Linked DNA regions of Oryzias latipes. The protein of the gene in region 2 purifies or fractionates together with the protein of the main gene of each other region. This does not show direct contact. Links are inferred from orthologs where the notes say so. Each region holds a gene or a part of one and is shown on either strand. Other genes may lie near its edges.

Region 1 (4,379 bases), on a different chromosome or scaffold from region 2:
CTTTACACCCTTTTTAAAAACATTTTATTTTTTTAAATGGCTGATTTTCAGTTGGTTTTAGCTCCATAACAACTATTTTATTGTTTGGTTGCCTGGGGATGGCGAACAGGTCTGTGTAATTTTGTAAAGGATTGGCAAAAGTCAACTTTTGGATTTCCTTGTGTTAACCCCGCTGACAATCCTAATATATTCATATCGTTTTGTTCTGGTGGAGCAAACGATTCACTTATTCAATTTTCATAATATTCTGGCAAAAAGAAACAAACAACAGGGGAGCGCCGCTTTTGTATGCTCGCCATGTTAGGCTTAAATCTACAAACTCAAACTCAAAACCATAGATGATACTACATGTGATATATATATATCATTTTCAAAACTTCCTTTGGATATCCTGACACGTGTGTTTTGGTTCGTTACTTGATTTTAAGCATTTTTTCAGACCCATAAGATATTTTGGCTTATCAATTGCTTTTAATGAAGTTGTTCACCATGTCAAAAAATTTATTTTTGACGGGTAGTAAAAACATGGAAATTCTGGTACGTTTTTTAGGATGTGGTGAGGGCAAAATGTTTGCTCAAAGGCGCAGTTAGAAAGAAAAATTCCTAAAACAATCTGGTCTCTGCAGTCCAGAACTGCTGCGGGGCAATTATTATGTAAGAAAACATCTACAATAAACTTCATGTAAAGCTCTGGTGGACACATGTAACATGAGATGAACAATATTGTTGCTTCTTGTTTGTCCCACACAGAGACTGAAACCAAATCCTTCTTGCGTCACTTAAGATGAGCAGACTATCAGAAAAGCCTTCAATCTTCTTAGACGCTGCACTGAACTGATCACACCTCTGAGACCAAGCTTACCAGCTGCTTTGTTAGCTAACAACAAATCCAATCCCTGACTAACTGTGAAACCCAAACGGGCGTGACTTATTGTATTTGGGAATCTGGATCATAAATGCAGCTGTCACTGAAAGAAGACAGAAGAAAAAGAAAAAAAAAAAGCTACTTCCTTGTCTACAGCTGCATTCCTTCCTCTTACCAATCAAAGTGACGGGCGTGCCGTATTCCAGGGCAGAAATGGCCGTCCACTTCCCTGTTCCTTTCTGTCCGGCACTGTCTCTGATCTTCGGCAGCAGGTGTTTGCCATCGCTGTCCCTGTATTTGAGGATGTTTGCGGTGATCTCAATGAGGAAGGAGTCCAGCTCTGTCTTGTTCCAGCTCTCAAATGCCTGGTTGTGTTAACATTTGAAGATGAAATTCAGTTAGTCGCGCTGCTCCACTTGGATTTTTATTTTTTTTACCTTGGTGGAGGGGGGTCACACTCACCTGTCCCATCTCATCGTGATCCATCCCCAGAACATCCTTCATTAGGTGGTAGGCCTCACAGATCAGCTGCATGTCTCCATACTCAATGCCATTGTGGACCATTTTCACAAAATGCCCCGCACCCTCATCTCCAACCTGCCCCGGAATCAAACAGTCCTGAAACTTGTCGAGGTATCAAACTAGCCTTTTCATCAAAATCAGCAAAGCTTTAGCACTGACCCAGTCACAGCAAGGCTCTCCTGTCCCAACTTTAGCAGAAATGCTCTGGAAGATGTCCTTAATGTGGGGCCTTAAAGAATATACAAGTAGATAGTCAGACATGAAGTTATTCCAACCTTGTTTTTATTTCACACAATTATCCATGATGTACCAGGCCTCTTTATGTCCTCCTGGCATGAGTGAGGGTCCGTAACGTGCGCCCTCCTCGCCACCACTCACTCCACTGCCGACAAACAACAAGCCTTTCTCTTTTAGACTCTGACACCGCCGCTGGGTGACAAAAACAAAGCAAAACTGTGGAGACAACCTCAGGAAAAAGATTTTAAACACCAAACCGTGGCTCTCAAAAGGCTTACTGTTGTGTCTCTGTATTCAGAGTTGCCACCATCGATGATGATGTCGCCAGCATCCAGAAGTGGAACCTGAGAAATAAAAGAAATGTTTGAAATCTGCACATCTACACGTTTGGGTTTCCTAAAACTGGTACAACCCACTGACCAGCTTGTCTATGAAGTCGTCCACCGCTTGTCCAGCCTTGACCAGCAGGATGATCCTCCTGGGCTTCTTCAGCTTGGACACCATGTCTTCCAGGGACTCGGCTCCGACCACCTTGGAGCCTTTAGCCTCATTATTTAGGAAGTCGTGCACTTTGGACACGGTACGGTTGTAGGCGCAAACCTACAACAGAGATTTGACAGACTGAAAAGAAATCTTCTTTCTTCACCAAGGAAGATGGGAAAACATAGGAAGCCATGGTCTTACCACAAAACCATGGTCATTCATGTTCATGATGAGGTTCTGGCCCATGACAGCCAGGCCAATCAGAGCAATGTCAGCCCTGTGAAACCAGGAGCGAGCACGTTTACTGTCAGGACTCAAAACTCTGACTACAAAAGCGTTCTAAAGATTAGGCACACAGCCGTACATGCTAAAGTATTCATAATTGAATCTACTTTAAAAATGTACTTCATTTCCCAGAATCCATAGCGACTACATCGATATTTCTTTTTCTTAGGGGGGTTAAATGGAAATAGAATGAATTAACTATATACTTCGTTAAAAAACAATTTAGTTATGTAATAATAATACAACAAAGTTATTGTAGTTATAACTCCAGAGGCCTACAAACTGACAAACGGCCGTTTAAAACGCTACCACCCCCACGTCTATAGCATATATTCAAAATAGAAAACTCGAATAAACTTACTCAGCCATCGCGTTTGGGTGAAGAAACAGTCGATAAAATGTCTTAAACTGACAGTCAGACAGGTTATACGCTTAACACTCTTCTTCAGATTCGCTCTTCTTCCTGGTTCTTCTCCATCTAACTTCACTGAAAAGCCAAAGCACGCCCATCTCCCTCCAACTTCCAATCATAAAGCGCGTTGATTACCGATGCAACGTCGTTTGTAGCTTTTGATTGGTCAGAAACTCTGGGCAGAGAAATGGGTGGTTCCTATTGGTTGCTTTTGATGGTCACTCACGTTAGGTAATCCCACAGTGTACTCCCTGCCCCCGGTGTGGAAATTCGGTTAAAAACATTAAATAAATCAGGCTCCAAGTTACACACACAATGATAGTTTGAATCAATGGTTTTTTGACAATGAATTGCAACTAAATTAAGCTTTAACCGGCACATGGGAAGTCTTAACACACTCCTCATTTCCAATGGCCACCAAAGTAGTTTGTCTAATCCTGTCAAGTAAAATTCCCACCAGAAATTTTCTTCTACCTCTTGGGGATTCACGTCAGGTTACTGATGTTCACTCCAGTATGTCCCAGGATTTGCCCCCTATATAATCTTTTATGGAATGTGAGAAATTTCAGGGATCAATGTCCTTATAAAGCGTTGAAGTCCTGTTACATCAAATCTTTATCTAGAAAAATCTCTCTCTAGATAACACAAACAGTGAAATAGAAACACACCAAAATAAAAAAAAATGAAGCAAATTTGCCTATTGTTTAATGCAAAGTTAACTGAGCTGTAAAAAAAAGTTTGGGTTCGAAACCAACTGCAGGTATTATTTTTTTCTGTACATTTCATGTTTTTAAAATATAGCCGTCTTATTTAGAGTTAGCATTTAGTTGACAGTTGTACATCTATAAGCATTTGCTGCATCATGAATGCACGCACGAGAATACAAAACAAAATTAGAATTAAACCAACTTGTTTCCATTTCACCATCTTAATACGACCTACACATTTTCACTCTTAAAATAAAACTTTCAAACTGCAAGAAAATAGTCTGGAAAATGGGAGCAAAAGCCCAAATGAGGTGCGTGCTCTGAAGCCAAGTAGCTGCTTTATAAATACATGTATTAAAGTTGATCAATGTTGACGCTATTTATCACAAATCCTCTGGTGACCCATGTTACTTCTCATTAGTATGAGGAAACGAGGAGAATGAGTGTAAAGCAGAGTCTCTTAGGTATATTTGTCAAAGAACAGAAGAAAAAAAACACTGTAAAATGACAATTTAAAAAAAAATGTTCATGGCTTGTTTTAAAACAACTGTCAGTCCTTTAAATTATATCTGAAAATGTATTTAGAAAAAAATGAAAAAAGCTGTTTGGTTTGGTGTGCTCTGAAGCAGGAGCATCTAATGGACAGCAGGAAGCTGTAACTTGTCAAAACATGCTGGCATCACTAAAGCACGCCACAAAGGAGAGGACAAACGGGCATCACAGGTTTTTGCTAATGCACAGTTTGCACTTTTTATTGTTGCCTCATTCACTAAACGGTTCAATGGTGCAAGATTACCATACACAGAATTAGGATACCTGCATGACACATCTATGCTATACAGCGAATGGATTATAATTATTACAAATA
Region 2 (3,681 bases):
AGAGTCTTCAAGACTTTCTTTTTTACTGTAAATCATATGAATTAGCTACTTCTTACAGTCATTTAGAAGCCTCTAAGCTTTTGCAGTAAAAATTTACACATAGTAACATTTAACACCAACATTTTCACTTACTTCACTTTCTTGTTCAGCTTCCGATTCATACTCCTGTATTCCTCCTTCTCTCAGCAGTGTGTGTAGCAAAAGCCAATCGACGTCTGGTGTGCGTACAGCAAACTGACCCCAGATCTGTTGTGGCGTTACTTTCGTGGCGATGTCACTTCCACTAAGGCTTTCCTTTTATTTGCAACCGTTTTCGTAGATGCATCGCTTTTTTTATGTTTGCATTTTTTTTCTTTTTTTGGCACCACTTTTTTTTTAAATTTTTTGCTGTCATGGCTGTTATTACTTGCAGCGTTTATTTTTTATTTGCATTTCATTTTCTTTTTGTTTGCAATTGCTTTTTTCTTTTTGCTCATCTTTTTTTTTCTGCAATGGCGGTTCTGGGCCACCGTACTACGAAGATAAATCTGGAGGAACACAATTGAACTAATAAATATGATTGTACAATTAAAATATGTACAATTAAAATAATAAAAAAAAACATTAACGAGTAAAAGTAATTTTTGAGAAATTTTATTTGTGATACTTTAACACTGAAGTACAAAATCAGTTACCACAGAAAGCCACTAAAGGCAACACCAAATCCTGAACATGGAGCGAGTAAGGCAAACAGTCTGTGATAATATATTACTTGCCATCATGATCAGGAAGTAATCAATGTTTGTAAGCAGAAATAACCTCTTCCATCATTATGACAATCAGAAACTTGATTTTCTTTATTAGCTCAAGTTATGAGAACGATTGAAGATGTGAAATTTTCCATCTAACGATTTTCTAGACAAGCTTCATTCTATTGAGGGTCATGGGAACCTGCTAAAGGTCATCTCAGGTTTTTAGCAGGTGAGAAGTGCGATACACACTTCAGGCCATGAGTTCATCACAAGGAACACAAAAGCAAAACATTCTCAATCCAAAGGGCAATTTGGAGTCATTACTTTAGCTAACATGCATAAATGAACCTGTATTTATATCTATCGACTGGACTGAAGAGGAGTACTTAAAGAAAATGATAGCAACACGTTTTGGAGCTCATCCAGTCAGTGACTCTCTGGGAAACAATTCAAATATTTTTTCTTCTCTTGGTTGGAACCAAGAGGTTTTTCCTTGTTAGAACATTAGTAGCCGGTGAGTTTGCATGACATTGTTTCAGGAGATTCCATGAGCAAAGGCAGTTTCTTCTGTCAACACCTCTCGAGGATGATGGCGATGCCCTGACCTCCACCGATACAGGCAGATCCAACGGCGTATTTTCCACCTCTACGCCTGTGACAAACAAAGGCCGATGAGTAGTGGCACCCTTTTCTTGTACACATATCAATGCACACAAACAATAGCAGCATATATTTACCTGAGTTCGTGCACAAGGTGGCCAGTGATGCGAGCTCCAGAGGCACCGAGAGGATGCCCGATCGCAATAGCTCCGCCATTTACATTGGTTTTCTCTGGGTCCAGCCCAAGAGCCTTTGAAACAGCCAGAAACTGGGGAGCAAACGCTTCATTCACCTGAAAGCAGCACACAAGCACGTAACTGAAGATGCAATGACTAAAAGCAAAGGCAGAAAATGGCGTGTCCCTGTAACCACTTTACTTTAACCGCTTTATTCTGTCCTTAATTGCAAGGACAGTATTATTTTAGCAATTGAGCCAAATATTTTGCCCCTGCCACAAACTCACCAAAATTTGCATGTACCTAATATCTGATGAAATTGAAAGTCATCAACCCCTACAATGATGACATCGCAACCAGTGAAACCTTCAAAAACAAAAAGACTGGGGCCAAAATTTTCTTATGAGGGAAAAAAAAAAATATTCAAAAACCCCCCACATTTGTGTCGCGAATATCCAAAGGACGTTTAAAAATTGTTATGTTATGGCAACAGGACCTGCTGCTTGGTGGCCATGTTGTGGTAAAGTGTGAGATCTGAAGATTTTCACATTTTCTCACCGATTTTCAAAAAATTTCACATGCAGCGTGCATGTGAAATTTACATGCATTTAGTTCAAATCTACAACCAAAATCAAAGTTTTGTTCACCTTTGACATCAGGAAGAGGCTACCATTTTTAATTAAAAACATTTAAAAAAGAAAATTAACCCTGTTGTCATATCTTAAAATACTAACCTCCACCAGATCCATGTCATTTAGAGACAGACCAGATTTCTTAAGAGCTCCTGTAATCGCTGGGACTGGACCTGAAATGACACCAAGAAATCCAAATTTATCATTCTAATATAAAGATGTTTAGGTTTATTCAGGTTCATTCCTTTCTATCAACCCAGATGGCTTCAAATAACATCTCTCTGGGAGCAGTGTCACTTACCGATACCCATAATGCTCGGGTCACAGCCTGACACATGATAAGCCACAATTCTGGCGAGCGGCGTGAGCTTGTGTTCTTTCAGAGCATCATCACTTGCAATCACCAGAGCAGCAGCACCATCAGACACCCCCTGGAGAGCAATAGACTCACATTTAGGGATATTTGATTTCTTTTTTGCTACTGAAGTAAAAAGGTCTGCTCCTACTTTTATTAGAACTAAACCTACATCCATTTTTTGTAAAGTAGAAGTGACAGGTTATTATTACATTTCACAAAAATCAGATTAATTTCATTCATATGTTTGTCACCACTAAAAGTAATATTTTCAAAATAAATACAGAGCAAAAAATAAAAAAAACTTTGAGCTTTTTGTGAGCTAAAAATATATAGATAAACATATTTTTTACAACATCCAAAGGCCTGGAAATGCTGTTATTAAAGAATTATTTGGGTTTTTTCTATTAGGTTACAATCGGAGGGTTCACGAACGGACCGATGCATTTCCAGCAGTGACGGTTCCCCCCTTTTTGAAGACTGACGGCAGTTTGGCCATTTGTTCTGGTGTGGTTTGAGGCCGCGGGTGTTCATCCTGAGCCATGGGAACCTTTCCTTTTTTTGTTTTTATGTCAACGGGGGCAATTTCAGCTGTGAAGTGACCCCCTTCGTGAGCTGTAAACAGAGTTTGACCGTCAAGAATTAAAATTCATGATAAATACGCTCCAAGACAAAATATTTTTGCACTTTTCGCTGGAAGGAAGATATCAAAAGTTGCAGTTTCTCACCTGCCTTCCACCTTTGCTGCGTCTGGTAAGCAAATTTGTCGCAGTCCTCTCGTGTGATCTCGTATTTTTCTGCCAGATTCTCTGCTGTGATTCCCATTGGTATCTTTACATGCAGGTCAGTCAGACCCGCCCACAAGGTGTCCTCCAGCTGTCAGAGATTTCATCTTAGTGTCTTCCTCTAAACTGCAAGTTTTTTTCTTTCTGCACATCCCATGTTTTCAGAGACAACATACAAAGACAAACCTTAAGATCAAGTCCAAACTTTGTTCCAAAGCGAATGTTGCGAACAGCATAGGGAGCCTGGCTCATGCTCTCTGAACCTCCACACAAAACCACCTCTGACTCTCTGAGGCAGATCTCCTGCAAACACACAAGGCATTTGAATAAGAAGCAACTTTCAAACTCAAGGTTCAATTAAATGGAATTCATGTTAGGATTTTAAAAGCCAGCTTACATGAG

What was found.
Region 1: the proteins of acaa2 (region 2) and pgd fractionate together in Homo sapiens (co-fractionation; 3 studies listed by BioGRID). This does not show direct contact. The link is inferred for Oryzias latipes from reciprocal best matches to the Homo sapiens genes ACAA2 and PGD.

Annotation. Positions count from the first base shown.
Region 1 is NC_019865.2:9,837,434-9,841,812, forward strand, and holds the start of pgd (6-phosphogluconate dehydrogenase, decarboxylating), read right to left. Parts: upstream 2,896-4,379; 5' UTR 2,762-2,895; coding exon 2,754-2,761; intron 2,385-2,753; coding exon 2,309-2,384; intron 2,225-2,308; coding exon 2,045-2,224; intron 1,969-2,044; coding exon 1,903-1,968; intron 1,817-1,902; coding exon 1,698-1,816; intron 1,617-1,697; coding exon 1,547-1,616; intron 1,463-1,546; coding exon 1,328-1,462; intron 1,231-1,327; coding exon 1,041-1,230; intron 1-1,040. UniProt on the Homo sapiens protein: Catalyzes the oxidative decarboxylation of 6-phosphogluconate to ribulose 5-phosphate and CO(2), with concomitant reduction of NADP to NADPH.
Region 2 is NC_019867.2:6,251,293-6,254,973, forward strand, and holds the end of acaa2 (3-ketoacyl-CoA thiolase, mitochondrial), read right to left. Parts: coding exon 3,677-3,681; intron 3,583-3,676; coding exon 3,466-3,582; intron 3,371-3,465; coding exon 3,223-3,370; intron 3,110-3,222; coding exon 2,934-3,109; intron 2,571-2,933; coding exon 2,441-2,570; intron 2,313-2,440; coding exon 2,242-2,312; intron 1,624-2,241; coding exon 1,469-1,623; intron 1,384-1,468; coding exon 1,302-1,383; 3' UTR 618-1,301; downstream 1-617. UniProt on the Homo sapiens protein: In the production of energy from fats, this is one of the enzymes that catalyzes the last step of the mitochondrial beta-oxidation pathway, an aerobic process breaking down fatty acids into acetyl-CoA.